Drosophila melanogaster: one gene and its partners. The gene in region 4 interacts genetically with the main gene of each other region. Each region holds a gene or a part of one and is shown on either strand. Other genes may lie near its edges.

What was found.
Region 1: of SH3PX1 (region 4) and stg, changing one suppresses a phenotype caused by changing the other (phenotypic suppression), as found in Drosophila melanogaster (one study listed by BioGRID).
Region 2: of SH3PX1 (region 4) and Ets21C, changing one suppresses a phenotype caused by changing the other (phenotypic suppression), as found in Drosophila melanogaster (one study listed by BioGRID).
Region 3: of SH3PX1 (region 4) and Rab4, changing one enhances a phenotype caused by changing the other (phenotypic enhancement), as found in Drosophila melanogaster (one study listed by BioGRID).

The regions. Positions count from the first base shown.
Region 1 is NT_033777.3:29,251,612-29,257,454, forward strand, and holds stg (string), read right to left. Parts: upstream 4,190-5,843; 5' UTR 3,318-4,189; coding exon 3,262-3,317; intron 2,351-3,261; coding exon 967-2,350; 3' UTR 532-966; downstream 1-531. Other genes in the region: CG45544 (uncharacterized protein), read left to right, coding at 5,053-5,286. UniProt on the Drosophila melanogaster protein: This protein functions as a dosage-dependent inducer in mitotic control. It is a tyrosine protein phosphatase required for progression of the cell cycle. It may directly dephosphorylate Cdk1 and activate the Cdk1 activity.
Region 2 is NT_033779.5:549,454-554,286, forward strand, and holds the start of Ets21C (Ets at 21C), read right to left. Parts: upstream 3,002-4,833; 5' UTR 2,405-3,001; coding exon 1,705-2,404; intron 50-1,704; exon of another isoform or gene 1-49. Other genes in the region: rempA (reduced mechanoreceptor potential A), read right to left, coding at 4,484-4,821.
Region 3 is NT_033778.4:17,571,619-17,575,512, reverse strand, and holds Rab4 (Rab4), read right to left. Parts: upstream 2,052-3,894; 5' UTR 1,815-2,051; coding exon 1,799-1,814; intron 1,730-1,798; coding exon 1,649-1,729; intron 1,579-1,648; coding exon 1,246-1,578; intron 1,183-1,245; coding exon 971-1,182; 3' UTR 534-970; downstream 1-533. Other genes in the region: Dcr-2 (Dicer-2), read left to right, coding at 1-118; CG42239 (uncharacterized protein), read right to left, coding at 2,312-2,410, 2,480-2,590; UQCR-6.4 (Ubiquinol-cytochrome c reductase 6.4 kDa subunit), read left to right, coding at 2,809-2,861, 2,990-3,110; POSH (plenty of SH3s), read right to left, coding at 3,511-3,685, 3,747-3,894.
Region 4 is NT_037436.4:9,709,899-9,715,684, forward strand, and holds SH3PX1 (SH3 and PX domain containing 1), read right to left. Parts: upstream 3,930-5,786; 5' UTR 3,788-3,929; coding exon 3,035-3,787; intron 2,255-3,034; coding exon 1,602-2,254; intron 1,122-1,601; coding exon 830-1,121; 3' UTR 524-829; downstream 1-523. Other genes in the region: vsg (visgun), read left to right, coding at 4,653-4,725.

The DNA of each region.
Region 1 (5,843 bases), on a different chromosome or scaffold from region 4:
TTTCGTATAACAGTCTGCCAAAAAGTCGCCGCTGTTATACTCAATTTTTTACGGACACAGCGCCCTCTGACATTTACAAAGTGCAACTACTCGCTTTGCGCGCCAATTTCAAGTTGTTAATTCTGTGAAAACCCATAGAGTACCGAAATCCCGCACATAATGCGCATTTGGCGCCATTTGAATGATAAAAATTCCAGGAATTTCAGTTCTTTTTCGTCGTGTATTAATGTATATTTAAAATTGATGGTCTTTGTTCAATAATATTGCCTTTTTTGATGCAAAAATAAGCTTTGCTTAAATAATAATCATTACATGGTAAAATATTTGTTTTCTTGTTTGCATTTGCGTTTCGGTGCCTTGTTGTTCGGTTACGGATTACATAAAAATAAACAAATAATAAGCGTAAATTGTACCTAGCAGAAGTTTACAACTTTCAACTCTTAAACGATAGATCTTATAAATAAAGTTTTATGGATGAAATTAATGAGCGTGTTTGTTTTTGTGTGATATTTGTTTTCTTTTTTTTTTTTTGTTTTTAGCCATTTTTTGTTCTGCTTATCATCTACAAATGATTAAGGGGTCTGATTTCGGGATCGGCCTCTTAAATTTAAATGACATGGTTCCTCACGTTTTTAGATTATAATGCACATTTTTCGTTTGCTTGTTCGTTGGTTATCTTTAAAATTTGAACTAGAGTGCTTAAATAATTGAACTAAAGCCGAAACCATAAAAACAATAATAACTAAACAAAAGCGTTAAATTCCAAATGAAATTGTCTGTTTTGCATGAATGCGAGTGTCGGGTGTGTGTCTGCGTCGTGTGCGAGAAACTTAGTCTACGGATTAACAAATGAAAATCAACAAAAATCAACTTAAAAGCAGCATGAAATAAATACCCCTATACGTCTATATATACAATACGATAACACCCAAACTTAGATAACGAACTGCACGATCATCCCACAACCTACAGCATCAGTCGCGAGCGCGACTTCTTTAGCCGCCCGGTGGCACCGCCCAGGCCATCGCCGTTCCAGGACTTGGACTTGGCGCGAAAGTGGCGATAGGCCTCGTTGTAGGCGGGATCCAGCATGGTGCGGTAGGCATGTGGTTCGCACAGCTCAACGTGCGACTCGAAGAACTCCTTGTAGCCGTTGTGCAGCAGATAGATCTCGGGATAGTGCAACGCCGGATAGGCGTTGGTATTCCTCTCGCGATCCAGATTACGCAGGAAGCGGGACATTTTCGGTCCACGCTCCGAGGAGAATTCGCAGTGGAAGATAATGATGTTGCGCTTGTGTCCCGATTCGGCGTTCTGCTGCTGCTGCAGCTCAGTCTGTTGGACGGTGAGGAACTCATCGAGGATCTGCTCGGTGGTGTACAGGTTCTTGGCTCCCTCGATGTGGCCGCCCTCGAATTCGTAGGGGTAGCGGCAGTCGATGATGCGGTAGCTGGCCACCTTATCGCTGAACTCGCCCTTAAGCAGGCGAGCCACTGTTTCGCTGGAGATGCTCTTCAGATCCCGATGACGACCCTCCATCAGGGGCAGGGCATAGGCTTTGCTGAAGTCGCCGATTAGCTCGGGCTCGTTGCGGTTCTCGGAGCGGGCCAGGGCGGACATGATCTCGGCGTCGTTCAGGGACATGCACTTCCTCAGTGGAGGGGGGTGGCTAATCGTGACCTGGCTGAGTGGGCTGGGTGCGGGGCAGTTCTCCTTCTCAACGGCGGCGCAGCGATGGCGTTTGCTCTGGATGGGCGAGCAGTTGGCCGATGCTGGCGGTTCCGGGCGCTTGAAGCAATCCCGGGCAGTCTCTGGGGTCTTTGGTGGTGGGGTGGTGGTGCTGTTGGTGTTGCTCTCCGTCATGCTGAGGCACCTTCTGACCGAAGGGCGGCGCATGGACAGACCCGCTGGCGATTTGGCAGCAGGCTGCTCCTTGATCTGGCCGCTGATCAGCGAGTTTAGGCCACTGGGGAAGCCCAGGGCGGTCTGTTGGCTCTGCGACTCCATCTCGAAGAGCTCCATGTACTCATCGTCCATGGAGGACTCCATGGAGCATGTGGAGGACAGGCTGTTGAAGATGCGGAAGCTGCGCGCCGGCGTGTGATCACTTGATACTCCCATAGCTGGCAGAATTTTCGGCTGGCGGACGATCTGGAAGCGCTGGGGCGAGCCCTCCGGCGAGAGCAGACCCATCAGCTCCGGACTGGCCGATCGCTGCTGATCCTGGGGCACAACGTCGTCGTCGTAGAACGACAGCTCCTCCTGGTCCATGCTCATCAGTTCCAGGGAACGGCGAGCACGACGAGATCCACTCATTTTGTTGATGCTACTCGAACTGCTGGTGTTATTACTGCAAGAGCAAACAAAGAGAGGGGGAGGATTAGTCAACTGTTCGGCATCGAGGAAGAGAGCTGCTTTTGCTTCCCTAAACTCTCGCAAGAGCGGGTCATTAAACCCAGCTAAAAATACTGACAAACTGGTGGTGGTGGTGGCGTTGGTGGTGTAAAAACAACAAAAATACCCGAGAAAATACAGAGAGGGGTTGTTGTAATTGGGTGAAGAGGGAGCTGAACTAGAAATTTACTTTAATGCAGCTTCGAAAACTGGAATTTTTGGGATTCGACTTGCGCACACGATATCATTGATACCATTTTTTTTTTTTTTGATAATTTTTACAATTCCCTAAAATTGCGAGGGAACCGTTGCGTACCGCCTTATCTTCTTCTTCTTGATTCTACTTAAGCATTAGCGGTTCTCCAAATGGAATTCCCTTTTGCTTTTCGCATGCATCTGCTTTTCAGCTTGACTTTTGCTTTTGGGTCACACGTCACGCAAGCGCAGCGATAATACAACAAAAACACGCCACAAAGAACCGCAAAGAACACGGAGGAAAAAAGGAACAAAAATCGAAAAAAAAAAAATGACTGACTGACGGACGACGGACAAAAAGCATTTTTTGCTGCTGCTTTTTTTTGGAGCCTCGCGGAAGCCGGTTTAATGAATGAAAAACGGCAAGCGAGCAACAAAACAACAGCTGAGCGCCAAAATAAAAATCGGGCAAAAAGCAAACGTGCCGAGCGTGATAAAAAGAACTCTTACTTTTGTTGGCCCCATCGTTTACATTTCTGTTTTTTGTATTTTTTTTTTGCTTTGCTGTTGTTGCTGTTGCTCTTGAACTTGCACTTTTTATCGCGTATTTTCAACTGGTATTCCTGGTGCAAAAGGGGTTTGCTGTTGCTAATCCTTGGGCGGCATAATTACCTGATATTGCAATCCATGCTGCAGTTGTTTTCCTCCACAATAGTTTCCCACAGCATTTTGTTGGTTTTGTTGTGTTATGTGTTGCGTTGGTTGCTTCGAAGAGCCGAAGATGTTTGATTTCGCTGGCGAGTCTGAAGCCGAAGAAATTGCTAAAACACAATTTGTTCTTGGTCACTCTGCACTCATTTACAGTTTGTTTTTAGAATTTGAGATGGTAGTCCTTGGTTTTTGGCTAGTATTGCATTTTAGTTAATTTAGGTTTTTTTGTTTTTTTTTTTTGTTAATGTGTCCGTTTGAGCATGATTTTTTGTTTTGTATTTCGGAGTGTGGTTGTGCGAGGTTTTTCTTTTTCTTCAATAATTTGAACCGCACAATCTCAATTCACCGAACGAGGAACCGAAAGGCTGAACAAGAAGAGCTGTTGACTCGACGACGAACTGAGAACGAATGTGCTGAATATGCCGAGCAGCTGGTTTTTATAACCGCACCCCGGCCGATCACGATCAGCTGATGAGCTAATGGGCGCGAGCGAGATGGCGCGCGTTTTTTGTTCTCTCTGCTTCGCTCTTTAGCTCTTAGTTCTCAGCTCCTTTCCTTTGCCTTCCCATCCTATCCTTTCCTTCCTATCCTTCCCAGAAGTGCCAATAGAAGAGGAAGGGAGACGGGCAACGAGCGACACCAACACACATAACGGGGACGGGGCCAGAGCCATGTGCGATGCGAAAAGGAAAACTGGGAAAATGGGAGAATCAGGATCATATGGACTCAGTTTTGGAAATCTCTGCTCATGTGGAGCACAAGAGTGCCGGCAACAGGTAGAATCCTTTCCCCTGCACTTCCCCTATCGCAAAATCCCGCACCGAATACCAATGTCCCGAGAAACGAGGAGAATCTGGCGCCTTGGTGGTCGCCAGCTCTATGGAGGCCACTGATTTTGGCGCGCGAGCTTTTATACCGCGACGCGTACCGCCGAAGGGGATCCGAAGTCGCCACAATTGGAGCCGAAGTGGAGCCGAGGAGGCTCCGAACCGAACACATGTGAAAATAGTGTGGAGCCCCAAGAAGCGAAGAGGAAACGCTGAAGAACTGCGCGAATCTTTAAGCAGAATTTCAAGGCGGCATCGATTGTGTCGTTTGCAGGTAATAATGTGAGATCCACGCATTCCTGCTGCCCCCTGTCCCCCCTTGTAACCCCTCCCTGAAAACTACATATCAGCAGGTAGTGGCCGCAGTCATATGATCGCCGCACCGGCGGGATGGGCGGTCGTGGAGGGGGCGTGGCTCCTTTGTGTTCTGCAGACGTAGACGCCAATGTCGTTAAATGAGCAAAGCTTCCAGCCACAGAGATCCATTCACAGGTAGCACTCTACACGATGGACCGTGTGTCTTTAATGAGAATCCGTACAAACACAGATCTTAAGCTAGATAAACTACTACTAACAGTAGCAAACACGTGGAAAATCATGATGTCAACCATGCGATATGACCAATAATCGATAATGTGAAGCTCAGACTAGTTGCCCACGCCGAAGCTCCACTGTAGCCCCTCGTTTGTGTGCAATCGCGGCAAAGTTAAAGCAAAAATCGAGTTACATATGCGCCGATGCCCTGCGGGAGTCATTCTGGAGGATCCGAGGGGTTCACTAAGGAGGGTTGGGGGTTTGCGAACACCCATGGGCTGTGCTGTGCAGTTCGAGTGTGTTTTTGTAAGGTTCGCGGCAAACAAATGAAGGACAGGCCAGTGCAACCAGGCCATATCATTCACACCGCTTGAAGAGCAGGCGAAAGTAAATGATTTCGGGACCAACCACAGCCGAAGCCACCAACCAAATGAGCTACGGTTTCATTCCGCTGAATTCCTTTGGCCAGCTTTTGTTGTTGCTGCAGGAAGAGCCGAGAGGATCATCTTTATGGAAAACAACCAGCACAAAACGACGAGAAGGACGCAGAAATCATAAAGTGGTTTTGAACAAGTTAAAAAAGCGCATAGGGAAGGAAAAAGCTCAGAACCAATCTCATTCATAGCGATCCGAGCGCACAGTGTGGCAAAATACATATACTAGAGGTAAATCTGTGAACTTACTACTACTATTTAAAAGTAGTTTCTAGCTCGAGTTGTTCTGCTATTTTCATTTTTACTTACCAAATTCTTATCCAGTTTTTATGCTTTTATTCATTCCAATTATAGCCTCGCAATTATGGATTTCAGATAATACCACCGTGATATCGCCGGGCTCCAGAAAAAGGGCAAAGCGGAGGAAGCGGAATCAAAAGCGTATGCAAAAGCACACTCACACACGTGTGTGTGCGTGTGTGAGTGGGTAAATTTGATAAAGAATGAGAATAGGCTGCGGAGAAAGAAATTGCAGCAACAATGTGAATGGAAATGGGAATGGGGCACAACAATAGCGGGGGACCTCAAAAACAGCATAACGAACAAAAAAAATCACAGGACCAGCAAAAAGTGAAGAGCTAAATTGTAAATCGAAATTCCAAGAAGTGAGCTTTGAGCATCGGCTCTTATTTTATTTTTTTCTCGGTCGTCTGTGCATTAAAATGCCTGCAAAGTGTGCGAAAAAAGC
Region 2 (4,833 bases), on a different chromosome or scaffold from region 4:
GATTGGATTGTTCTATGACCATCAATGAAGGTCTATGCCGGGAGCGCGTCAACCGTTTAGGACGAGAGCCATTCGCCGACTGAAACTTTAGCCAGAAGCGCTGGCCGGATTTCGCTCCTTAGCACCGGACGGATGCCTGGCATCTGGCATCTTGGATGGGAGCATGGGCATCCGCGAAGCAGTCGAAGCTCCGGGCACGATTACGGCTCACCTGCGCAGCTGGTGGTAAATGCCGCTTCGGCATTTGCCAGGGAAGTCGCAAAGTCAGAGGCCACGTGCAGCCACTCAACCAGCACCCACCCCTTCGCACACGATAAGCAACTTGTTCTTTTGCAGCGTTTCGACTAATGCATACCCAGTTGCGAGTGGCTGGATATATTATAAGGTGGCAGGGGCGCGTCCGATGGATGATGGAACCAGAAAAGTATTCTGTTTGCGTGGGGAAATATATCCGAGTTTTTGGGAAATCATATGACTAATGGTTTCATTGGTATGTTCCTCAAGGTACGTACTATTGGTGGCTGTGGCATTGTGAACAGGGAATGGCTTTGATCCAGTTTGTACCCTGTAAAGGGGGCGGTGACTCAGACATGGGAGCCACAACCGTAGCCCACAACAAATGTAATCTGCGTGACGGCGACGACGCGTAATCCTGGTTGGCATAAAAAACAAATCAATTAAATCGACGTCGCCTGCTCCCGGGATCAAGGCATGTATGTGTAGTCCATGGAACACCCATCCACCAGCATATGCCAGACCCGAATCAGGGGGCTTTGCCCGCCCTGCACTTGCTCTTCCTGCCACAGGAAGGATGCGACGAATGAATATTTTCCTGTGCCCAAAAGCTGACCACCCGCAGAGCTGTTGTCACGGACAAACCACCCAACCCATCTCAGCTATCCAAGCCATCCAAACCACCCGACCTTCAGCCCACTTTTTCCGCCAAGCTGAAACTTGACTCGGCGACTTTTGTCGCTGGCGTGGGATTATTTTGATTTTATTATTAGATGCCACATCCTGCGAGAAATTATCATATTTACATCGTTTATTATTAAGTTCATCACTTGACGCGACCACCCACAAGGCCCTGACACGCCCCCCCCCCATCCCCCCCCAACGCCCATCGCCTTTGCGTTGGCAGTCATCGCCAGTTAATAACTGGAAAAGTGTTGCATACTTTGCTGCTGTCGCGCAGAGATTTTCCCAACGACTTACGTTAATGGAGTCTCGGAGAAAGTTGGCCAACTCGAGCGAAAGGTAATTAAAAGGGGATTTCCCGCACCTTCGGCCACTTTTCCTCCTTATCAAGACATCCGGAGAAGTGTGGGAGAAACAATCAATGGAGCACATAAGTTACAGCCGTATCAGCACGAAGGCATCTTAATCAGTGGCCATTTGGCCGGCGACGGAGGCAAAAGGATTCAATTGATGCCTGACCACAAAGGATTCGAGAGTCGGACAATCGCTCCGCTGGGAATAGCACGTGAACCCAATTACCAAGCAGTTCAATCTCTGGACTCTGCAGATTTATGTGGCCCGAGATTAGCTTGGGACAGTGAGAAAAATGTGGCTCCGTTTAAGTAGTTTTACTCGATTCTGGAAGGGTTGGCACTTCAGAAATAGGAATTCAAAGACTAAGCCATAAGAGGACATAGGCTAGGATTTGAAATCCCTCTTCAAATAAGCTCTATCTTAGGCACTCACTTGGTTCGTCGTCGTTGAGCATCGGACTCGTCTCCCGTCCGGTGGCGTGGTATAAGCTGATCGCGAAGTGCTGCGCCAGGAGCATGCCTCCGCGCCTTGATCCTGCACAGACCCAGAAGTCCGCGCGAGACAGATCGCACAGCTCCTGGGCATCCTTGGGAAACCTGTCGATATCCGGCTCCGGGTCCAGTTTGAACTTGCGCGTCGCCCATCTCACCCAGCTGGCAATGTCCTCGGGCGTCCAAGCGTGCGGATCCACGGGCACCTCCACGGGAGAGACGCTCCGGTTGGAGTCGCTGGAGTTCCTTCGAGGAGATGGCGCCTGGTGAGGCGATGAAACGGCGGGCGGAGTGGGTGTCGCCAGCGGGAGGGGCACTGGCAAGTTGAGGGCGGGTAATTGGCTTCTTATGCTACTGCTGCTGGTGGAGGACCCGGAATCCGAGTCTGTTGAGGAATATGAGGATGCGCTTGAGTCGCTGGTGGAGCTACTGCTGCAACGCCTTCTGCGTCTTCTTCTGTTGGTGGGAACTTCCGTCTCCTTCGCTTCCAGTTTGGTCTCGTTTCCGGATCCGATGCTTTTTTGCCGGACATCCTGATGCATGGCATTAATCGGCCTCTGTTGGCACCAAGCACTGCGAATCGTCTGGCTGATGATTGGGAGTTGCTTGTGGCTCTGGCGGCTATTCTGTAGAATGGCCATTAAGCTGGGATGTTCCTGCTCCCACTTCGAAAGTGCAATATCAGCTATTAGCTAAAGACTTTTGGTAGCTTTACCGTTTCACTTTTCTTTGACATTATTCGGTTGGCATATAAATTCATCTAATCTATATTTGCTTATTGTTTGATTTTCACTAAGATTTCATTATACCAGCTTGATTTTTGGTAAGTGCACTTAATTACACTTTATTGTTTATGTTTTTGGCGCCCTTTTGCACTACTAGAATATTCACTTCACTTTGGCCCTGTTTAATCATAATATTCTAGGAATCACACTTTCGCATTATTGCGTTTATTGGTAGCCTGCAACCGGTTGAAACGGATTTAGGATGTGTGTTCGTCTGGCTGGATGATTCACCCGAGATAGTCAGGGTATTTCACCTGCTGACCGGACAAGTGGAGTCAGCGGCAGGCTTTCCACGTGCCGCAAATCGCGGAAATCTTTCGCGGAAAGTTTGCGATTGGAAACGTTTAATAACCGTTATTGCATCGACCGATTACAGATCCGCCGATCGGGTTAAGAGTAGCGCCGTATTCCACTCCAGATCGCCGATCTTCGATCGCTCTGGCCCTGATCCGACCCACTTGGCGAGTGACGAACTAATGATCAGCGCCGGCGAACAGTGATAAAGCCATGACGAAGTCGGCTCCCATGAGCTTTCCACTTGGCGCTCTCTCGCCGACTCGGCTGCCCCATGACCAACCGGCTGACTTCGAGGGGCACTGGCTGCTCGGGACCAGTTTGCCGGCGGCGTTTGCCACTCGGCTCGCGAGCTTTCGCTCTCCGCAGTGCCCACTTATCGCTCGCTCGCAAAGCAAATAACAACCTTAAGCATGACGTCGTGAAACTGGCCTAGTCCGTATGAGTCACCCGTCCATTGAGCACAGCGATCGTCGATCGGCGGGAAGCCGACGGAGTTCCCCAGCCTTGTGTGTGGGCCACAGGGGGTGGCTCGGGTGGAAGGTCGTTTGGGGGCCAACGAAAATTCATTCATTCATCGATTCCCCTCCTATTTGGATTTGTTGTCTTGTTGCCTTTGCCGCGTCATTCTTCTGGGAAATCGGGCATGAGTCGTTAGTTGTCTGTGGTCCATGCCATGCCTACTTGGAATATCAGTTTATCTCTGTTCCGATATTTGGCAAAAGGTCGCTCCCAGAATGATATAAGATATATATAGATAGAAGATATAAATATAAATAATAAATAGTTATGTCATAATCGAGTGATACATGGTTTTCTCTACAAGCCTCCTATCCGCAGTTCATCCTTGTGCGCATTTTACTTCGTGACAAGTTCCAGTTAAGGGTCAGTATTTATAAAACTAAACCATTCCATATCCATATATGGTAATTATATTTGGGATCTAAATATCCAATTGCTTGACGTCGGTGACGTTTTCGATTTAGTTTATATCAGTTCGCCAACTGATTGCTCTTTCGATTGTTCCGAGTTTCGCTGGCTTCCTGGAAATGCCTCTGATTTCATACATAGCTGAGGACGCGGACGCTTTTGGGCAAGTGATTCACGGATGGCCGCTCTCTTTTGCTTTCCGACTGGCGCCGGCAGATCCGCCGATCCGAATCCGTATCGCTGTTTATATTTGCTTTGATGTGACGTCGGTCACTTGAACTCACATCCAAGTCATATACCTACATACATATACATATGTATGTTTCAGCACCGAAAGCTTTTACTAGGCTTGCGTACATCGTGAAGTTCATTCATAAAATTCCAAATGGCCCAAGCAAGGGATTTGTATACAATATAAGCAGAAATTTAAGCAGTCTTGTGAAATACAAATACAAGTTATACAAATACGTAACTTGTTCGTTTTGATTGAGAACTTTAAGATGCTTTCCACGATTTCTGTCATTGTATATACTTTCGTTTATGATCATTAATACTTAATATCTTAGCATAACTTAGTATCTGCTGGTTGAAACATTCCATTGTAGCCATTGCTTATCCAATTTAAAGGGAACTCTTTTGCCTATTTACTTGTTATCCGCTCTGCGGAACTGGGACGTGACTAGGTGCTGCATCGCCTATTAATTGAATCATCTAATGCAGCTCCTCGGTGATCTCCTCGTCATCGGCGTCGTCATCATCAGTAGTCGTCATCCCAGAAGTGCTGCTCATTCCAGTGGCGGCCGTACCGCTTGTGGAGGCGGTCACCTGGCGTCCCGCATTCCAGATGAGATCGAACTCCAAGTGGCACTCCTGCGCAATTTTGTGAACGATGCTGCGATCCAAGAGTCCCGAGGCACTCCACGTGCTGTCCTTCACGGTCAGCTCCTTCAAAGCTCTGCCCGCCTCAGAATAGTCCTTGACGTAGACCAGGGCTCGGATTAGCATGGCCAAGATATGGGCGTGGCGTATGGGCGGCAGTTCGGGTTTAACTTAATGTGAAA
Region 3 (3,894 bases), on a different chromosome or scaffold from region 4:
TCAATTTACCTGCATGGAAAAGACGATCAAGGTGTACGGATTTGGGAGCAATAAGGACCAGGCCAAGCTATCGGCTGCCAAGCACGCCCTTCAGCAGCTAAGCAAATGCGACGCCTAATATGATGATTCCAGCCCAGTCTAGTTTCTGCTAAACTGCATTGAATTTGCTTTCTAGCCAAGACGTAATCCTTTGGAAGAGGACAGCAAAGGGCACCTAATGAACTTAACTGTATATCTTAGAATTAAAAAATACTTTTCCATCGCTTTAATAGACATAAATGTCTAAAACCAAAAAATCATTTTTGATCACCATAAATTGTTAAGACCTTTTAAATCAAAACAAAAACAGCCCATTTGGAAACACAATCTAAAGATGCTATGCCAATTTCCTCAAATACAAACGGTTTTTAATTATTTTTTTATCAATTATTGCCATTTAAAATGTTTTAGCTTCATTGTTATTAATAAAATTTAATAGCTTCCCCAATACAATATTTGTTACCTTGGGTCGAAATAAATATTTTTATACAATTGAATTTATCAATGGGCGTTTTTATTTACCGCGTGCATGCTTCAATGGGATTTACAATCGGCGACGTCGTCAACGGCGTATCGCTACTTATTTACATTAAAAATGCCGAGTGTATTCTGTTCATCCTCTAGATCAGATCCATGTGCTTATAGCCATACATCATTTGTTGCTCGAGGGCTCTAGTGCTTCACGAATTACAAATTATAGTAAGTAACATTTGGGGTTAACCCGAAATCATAGGTTTTCAAAGTGGTAATTGGTTATGTTAAAAAACAAATCGATTAGCATTATGCTTACAATTGGAATGATTAATCTAGCAAGACAAAATACATACTAAAAAAGTGGACACACACAAGTACACAATACAACTAAGGGGTAATCCGAATGCGCATTCCGGTTTGAGATTAAATGGAAATAAATCAGCACAACTTATGCGACTTAAACGCGACAGGTGCAATCCGGCTTATTGATGCTGCGCTGTCGTGTCTGTAAGTTACGGAGAGCAGCTCCGCCGTACTGAATACCGCTGCCGATGCGCTCGGGATCCAGCTCTCCGGTCTCAATTTTGGCCAGTATGGTCTTTGAGCACTTGAGAAAGGCCTCTTCAACATTCTCCCCCGTCTTGGCGCTCGTCTCCAGGAAGATAAGCTCTGCAACGACAAACAGACGTAGAATTACGATAGGAAATTTATGGAGAATCCTAAAAAACAGACCGTTCTCTTGGGCAAAGGTGCTTGCTTCCAGAAAGGTCACATCACGCGCCTCCTCCAAGTCCTTTTTATTGCCCACCAAAAGGATCACAATATTTGGGCTGGCCAGAGTGCGAGCATCATTCAGCCAGTTTGTCAAAGCATTGAAAGAGTCCCGCGAAGTGGCATCGTAGACCAGGAGAGCTCCGGCTGCTCCGCGATAGTACGATCTTGTCACCGATCGGAATCTCTCCTGACCGGCTGTGTCCCATATCTGTAGCTTTACCGACTTGCCGCCCACGTTCACAATCCGCGAGCCGAACTCCACTCCGATGGTGTGCGAACTGTCGTCTTTGACTTTGATGGTACATCAAAATGTATAAAATGCATTAGGCGTGTACCATTTTCAGGCTACCACCAAACTTACACTTGCTCTCGATGAAGTGATGCAACAGACAACTCTTACCGCTGCCAGCACTGCCAATTATCAGGAACTTGAACAGGTAATCTAGGTGAGCGCCGAGCACCGATATTAATTAGTAAAATGCATTAATTAATTAAATGTGTGCTGACAAACCGTATGTTTCCGACATTGTTTTTGTTCGTCTTCTGCGTAGTTGTCTTCTTTGTTTGTTTTGGTTTTTCGGCCAGACTTCAGGACTATCGGATTGCTGGTGCGTATGGGCACCAGGAAGTGCGCAGGACACGATCAAAACCCGCAATATCCGTCGATAAGTAAGCGTTTAAACAATTAGAAAGCCAAAAATTACCTTAAAATCTTTGACTGGACTCACTTCAGTGAGAAGGTTCGCTACAAACGCGAAAATACCAACAAGGGGTGGGTGTGACCAGGTGGTTCAAAATATGATTCATATTGCAATTAAGTTTTTGTTTACTTTTAAAATATTTCCAAATATATGAAAATTGCCGAAAGCTACAAAGAAAAAACAAAATATGAAATGCAGCCCACAAAGGTTTATTGTCTTTTTTCAAAAACCCTCTTCTATTCATCACACAATTTGCATACATACATATATGCAATAAAAGTATAAAAGATGGTGGGCCCTGGTAATCCAACCCGGCACATAGTCTACGTATCCTTTTGCTTCTCTGGTTCGTAGTCTTGATAGCAATTAATGGGATCCTTGGCCGTATAAACTGAGTATGCCAATTTGCTGCCCTTGAAGTTCTGTAAACTCAGGGCAGAAAGGGAAAATTACTTAAAATTAACCATTCTGATAAGCACTATCTGCCGTACCTTCATATCGCCAGATATCAGAGTCCAAAGGAAAACGAACACCGCCGGTATCACAGTGGACAGGACAAACAGCTCGAATGTGTTAAGCTCCCCAAAAACGGATATTTTCATTTTAATTTCGTAATTTTTGATGAGTTCTTTGCGAATATTAGTTTTTGTTGATGACTAGTTGTTGTTCTCACGTAGGCCGCACAGTGTTGTCACACCTTGCTTTTAAAGTTTTACGCTATCCTACGGTCACACTGTAGTGGTATTATTTAGGACATTTGAAACTATTGCGTTCATTGCGAACATTTTGGTGCGTGTGAAAAGTTATTAAATCAACAAAAATGGCTTTCCGCATACCTTTTGGCAAGAAGCACGCTGAGATAGCGAGTTCCTTGTAAGTATATGCTGTCGTGCTTGATTCTGCATCATGAATTCATTAGTGTTCCCGCTCTTTTACTGCTACCAAAGCACACATTGCATAACCCCATCCAGAGAACTAAACTAGTTTCTTTTAATTCGTAGCATCCGATCTGGAGCCGGATTCGGAGGAGCTGCTGGCCTGGCCGTGCTTTACTACACCGACTGGAAGCTGGTCCTACAGTACGTGCCCATCTACGGATCCAAGTTCGAAAAAAGCGAGTAACCTTGCCTGCCGTAGTTGAATCCACAGTTAGCCTCGATGTTTTGCTTGGTGAATAAAATAAGTTAAAACGACCAAAGGGTATTACTGAGTATCGTATATTACAAATAACTTTGTAGAGGGCACAAGGATCGGTTAGATTATTTCTCTAGCTAACTAATCGCTAAGGCTTAAGTAACTGTTCCCTAAGTCTTACATGGCTAGCCTATTTTGATCAAGCATTGTATAAAAAAGTACAACGGCGAGCTGCCCATTCGATTGGAAGAGTACAAAACGGTTTCTTTTTTGAAAAGAGAAATATGAGATTGCGTATTTGGAAGCCCGAATAGACCGACGATTGAATCCTTTTAGACAAGTAATTTGGAATTTCGCTTAATAAATTCTAGTTTGAACCATAACTTTCCTAACAATCCGGTTCAACAAAGGAGGCGGGGAACAGCCCGGTTTTGTGGGTACGGGCATGGGTGCCCTTATACCAGCCGTTCTTCTGCTTCCGCTGGACGTAGATAATGTCGCCCAAATGTAGCTCTAGTTCAATGTCACTGTTTGGTGGATACGGCACAATGCAGCGGAATCGACTACGATAAAAGGTTGCATTAGTAAATCTCTAAGCTCACAATAATGTATTGCAAAACCCACCTTTCCCTCGTGCAGTAAGGAGACTTAGTGGTGGCGCTGGCCTTAATGGCCGCCTCCGTGATCATATTGCTGCTGGGACTCAGCACATGACTCGCATCTAGGCTGTGCGACTTCCGATGGCTGGGTGCAATAATCATATTGGCATGCA
Region 4 (5,786 bases):
TCTAGATGTATTACACTTAGTGATCCCCCCACAACCCGATTCCCATCCCTGGAAACCCACATCCGACTATCCTCCAAAAATGCCAGGACAATCCTTGGACCCTTCACCTTCACCTATGACCTCGCCAAAAATCAAACGAAAACAAAGCGCAGCGCTAAAAGGCAAACAACCGATTTTGTATCCATTCCGAAATGTGTTTCTTTTTGTTTTTACTAGTTATTACGCTGATTATTTATGAAATCATCATCCCTAACATGTGCAATCTAACACTTATGTTCTAGATACAAAAAAAAAAAACAAAAAAACCAAACAAACACAAGAATCACAAAACTTATTAACGCGAAAATGGCAAAGCAAAAGCATGAACATGAAAATGGAAAAATAAAGAGAACCCTTTTAGAGAATTTCGCTGATAAAGGCAACAGAATAGCAAATCGCCACCGAGACTTTTAATTCAGCGGGTTTGGTTGGATCATCCAAATATGATGATTATGATGCAGATGATGCACTTGCACAAGTGGTTCTGTATAAATATAGTTATATTTGCATCTCAAGTTCAGTGTATAATAGGCATATAAAAGTTAATTTCTGTATAAATACGCAACTTTTCACTTACAAACAACATTATGTAATATTTTTTCTGTTTAACATTTAGTTAGAACCACGCTTAAAGTAAGAGTTCCTTTCGAAGGCATTTGAAATGCGCGCGTGCGAATGTTTTCAGCTATGTATCTCTGTGTGGAAGTGTGTGCCCGGTGCGGTTTCTTTGTGCTCCCAGCCGTCGATCTCTTCAGCGATGAGTCGTCGTCGCCATGGGCCAAGGGCCAATCTACTCAATCTGACGGCTGGCCTCCTGCAGGCGCGCCACCACGCCCTGGTAAAACTTAATCTGTTCGGCAATGAAATTCTTAAGCGTATGCTTCAAATGCGTATCCCGCTCGCTCTTGAAGTGGGTCAGCTCGGCCAGCACCGTGTAGGAGACGACATCTGTGCGCCGGTTAACGTCGTGCAACTGGGGATTATTCATCCTGCCCTCGCCGGCCAATTTCTCGCAGTCCTTTCGCTTCTGTATGGCACCCTTGTGCGTGGAGAAGATGTCCGGAAAGCAGTTGAGAACGCCCCTATTTGGAAAAGTGAAAGTAAGAATTAGATAATGCTTCTAGATCGTTCTATAAACAAATAGCGACGGAAAGTTACCACATTCTCTAGAAGTTATATATATATTATACATATGTATATCTATGTATATATTTCTTGTTAAACTAAAGGTCAGTCAGCGTAAGAACCACAATAATCTAAAATAAACTATTGGCCAACAATCGATTTTTCTCGCGAAACTATACATTGATTCATTGCTTAAAAGTAAACAATTTGAGTTCTTTATAAATAAACTTGATACCTTAAAAACAATTTACAAGAAAGTAATCTATCGAAAATTTTTAATTGTGAGTAATTCAGCCATATATGTATGTGCCTATTGTAACTTCTAGTATAGAAATGACACATGTCGTGGAATTCCCATTTTCAGTCAGCTAATCAATTACTGATGAATGAAACGAAATGTGCTATGCTTCCCATCACTTATAGAGACGTCAACCCACCTGTAGATGTGAAGTCGATCCGAGAGGGGAATCCAATCATGCTTTGGCTGGTCGCCAAAGGCCTGTCCAATACCGATAAAGATGCCACCGATGCGGCCGACGCTCTCGGAGAGCGGAACCGCGTTTCGGGTGGGCGCACGCCGCTCATCGATGGCCAATGCCTTGGCCAGGTCGGAGAGTCCGTCGCCAATGCGCTGGAACTCCTTTTTACTCTGCGACATGGAGCGCTTGGCCATGTCGTTGGATATATTGTTCAGGTTGCGTACTGCCACGTCCATGCTGTGTATGAACTGGGTGCCCAGCTCCACCTGTGCGTCCACCTTAGAGTGCAGCAGGTTCTTGTCCGGCGGCGAGATGGCCAGGCAGTAGTTGACGCCCATGTAGGGATCCCGTTCCGCCTTGCGTTTGCCCGACTTCCAGATCTTCTCGTCGCGGCAAGTGAGGAAATGGTACCAGACCTCGCATTTGGAGATCACCGGATGGCGGCACACCCAGTCGACGAACTCCTGCAGCTGCACACGTCGATGCTCCACGAATTGCTCCTCATAGCGGCCGGAGATCTGCTTGTCCGGCAGCGGTGGCACCGGAATCAGGCAAAACTTGTCCACCAAACGTTCGTGCAGCCAGTCGAAGTGCTTGTAGCGACGTGACACCTAACGAAAGGGAAACCCAGATTAGATATGACCAATTAATTGTGATTGGGTCACGCAAAGAGGAGCCCGGAGCTCGGGGGGTCAGAGCTCGTTGCTGAGTCATTCCCCGTGGCGGTTCGCAAGCACAAGCAATCATCGCAGTGCCGCTGGCTACCAGTTGGTCAGAATTGCCCCCACAAAGAAGAATTTTAAGTGCTTTTACGACTCTGTAATGCTCTACCTATTTGTATGTGTATTTTAATGGACTGAAAGAACTTTACAAAGAGCTTTGATTTCAGTTCGAAAGTAATGTCGAGCATTTATGCTTCTCATTATTGTAATGAATAAAGTTGATCGAAATTATCAAAATACTATTTAAGTAGCTAATAAGAAATGAACTATAGCTTTGAATAGTATTAAAACTTTAACAAATAAAAAGATAAATTTAGCCAATTTTCAGAGTCTTAATAAAACAAACCAATTAAAGAAATGGATATGATCTCCATTTAAATTTTCTCAGCAAAAAAGGGTCACTTTTAAGGTCAACTCAGTTGGAAAATGTTGGCCGGCAATTAGTGCGGAGTTTCGATAAACAAAGGATTGGTCTTTCTTTATTCCATTCCATCTGCTCGTGAGCACATGAACCAGCCCAAATTACCCTTGGCAGAGGGTAGCGAACACAGCACAGACACATATTATCAACAAAATATTGCACCCGTAGTTACACACTCATGCGCCAACGGTCGGAGCTTTATCGTATTGTGTTGTTAATCACGGCGATATCAGGGTTGGCCAACTTACGGATATGTTGTTGAAGCTAGGCGTCAGTTGGTAGGCAATGAACGTCTTCATCCCCTTGAATTTGGACTCCTTTTTGGGACTGGCCACCACAACGGAGTAGGGCGAATGGTTCTGCGTCCACTGGTAGATCGAGTCCTCCACCTGTGTAATGTAGGCCATCTCGCATTCGGGTATCTTCTCCTTGGTGCTGGACAAGCCGAGTATATATGAATCGGAACTTTTGGCGAACATGCCCTTTTTGACGGTGCCAGCAGCACCAGTCCCACCAGCCACGGAGGCCAGTGATTGGGTATCATCGTTGGGCGCGATGGGCAGGTGTTTGTTATCGTAGTCACTGGTGGAATGCGACAATCCGCCAGCGCGAGCCGACTGTCCCGCAGACTTCTGGCCACCTGGACCAATTTCCGAGTACGTGTCATTGTCGTCGCTCCAATCGTCCTCATCATCCCAGTTGCTGCCATCATCATCCGCCGTCTGATCGTAACGCGGCAAAGGGGGCGAGGCGAAGGGATCCGGAACCTGTGGCACCGACGTCGCTCCACTGGCGCTCAGCTTCTGGGCTTCGGCCGCCGACATCACCTCCACGTACGCAGCCGGGAAGAGGCCAATCTGGCCACGGGCATTCTTGCCCTCCCACCAGCCTTCACCCACATCGCTCCGGGTCACCGAGAGCACGTCGCCAGTCGCGATGGAGAGCTCCGAGGAGCCCGGCTCCCCGGTAAAGTCGTACATGGCACGCACGTACGAGGTCATCTTGGTGCTCTCCTGGTCGTTCCTTTACGCTAATTCGAGTCCTGTCTTCACAGGGGCCATAAACAGACAAGAAATATCTACTAATTCTGAATCACCAAGTGTGAAGTGTTACCGTTTCTTGGATTACGGAATTAAACTGACACTGACGTCTTCTTCGCTCTGCAGCAACAAGATATAATGATGATACAGCAATTTTATTAGGGGTATTCCCCCAACACACCTGAATTCTACACTTGGAACAGAGGCACTCTCTAATTTGATAAATAATTATAAAAACTTCATATTTATACTGTACTACTACTATATACTCACTAAAATAAAATAATATAAATGGTACATTTAAGTCGATCAAATTAAATTAATGAGTTATTGCGTTATCAAGAAAGATTTAGCTGTGAAAAATTACTTATGTTTATATAGATTTAACCTACAAATATTTCAAATAAATTGCTAGGTGGGTATACAATTTTATAGTAATAAATCAAGTAAAATATAAGGACAAATTTATGATCATAATTTTATATTGCACCAAATGCGAGGCGTTTCAACTACATTACGGTCTCCCCCTACTGATAAGCGCCGAGTGCCAGGGCTGCAGAGCACGGCTCAGCTGTCGATGTATCGGGATGCATCGAAGTATCGAGTTGGCATAAAAGAATCTGGTCTTCGTGTCGTGTTATTCATTCCTTAATTGCGCCTTGCTTTAATTTGTGGGTGAGCGAAATCGGAGCTCGGCGACATCGCCAGTTGTGCAATACTGACTCCAGCGGTATCTGTTAATCCCCAACCACTTCGCAAACGTATTTTCTTTGCCTTGCAGATTTGCTGACTTTGTCGTTCGAGTACTCAGCGTTTAACGACCACAATGAATCGGCAGGCGAAATTCCTAATCTTGTGCCTCTTTGTGGGCCTCTTCTCCGCGAATTTGTGCGAAGAAGGTGAGTCTTTGATCAAATTACACCGAATTAAAATCGAATTGAAGACACGCCGAACACTCATTTCTCAATTATGCACTCGGACACACACACACACACGCTTGCATGTGCATGCGTACGTGTGCGCAAACCCCTCGCGTGTGTGCGCCGTGCGGGCATGTGGGTGTGTGTGTGCATGAATGTGCGTGTGTGTGGATGTGGGGGTTTTTTAAATGCCAATTCCTATATTGAATATCAATTCTCCGGCCATTTTCTCTTACTCCGACTTTGGGGGAATGTTCTCCGCATAAGAACTGCAAATCTACAGCTTTCCAAAAGAAACTTGGAATTTACGAAAGTCCGTAAATTGTCACATTACCATACGTTAATATTTGTGGACATTTGGTAAATATGTATTTACCGAGCTGTAACCATATTTTGTTCGCAAGCATTTATTTAAATCGTCACGTCCTAATTACCATACGAAAATATTTGTACATATTTTAGGATTTAAAGAGATTTTGACCATATTTTGTTGACAAACAATTTAATGTTTACTTTTTCAGCTTTCTTAAATTTCCATTCCTTAAATTCCATTATTGCATACAAATAAATATCACCTAAATGCTGCCTATTTTGAATATAGTAATCTTTATTTTCCGAACCAAATCAATTTGTTTTGTTACGTTTTTCTATTTTGTTTGACAATTTTGACATCATTTACATGTGCAATGGAACTATTTTTATTTTCAATTCTTACAAAACATGTGTATTCGTTGTGCTTTTTGAAATATTGGAAATCGATCAATAAGAGTCGTTGTGAACTTATCATGCTTACCAATTTATTTGCTTTTAACTTTGGAGTGACGCATAAGTTTTTATCTATAATATTCGTTGCTGATTACTGCACACAAGCCCTGTTTTTTTGAAGCTATGATAGGCGCTGTTCTTACTTAAAATTATTTTTTTACGATGTATTCATTCTGAAATAAGAAATATGAACGTATCAAAAAGGGTTGATTAAAAAAAACCACACATTGGGTTCATTACTATAATATTTACTACACTTGAGTCTATCTGATGTG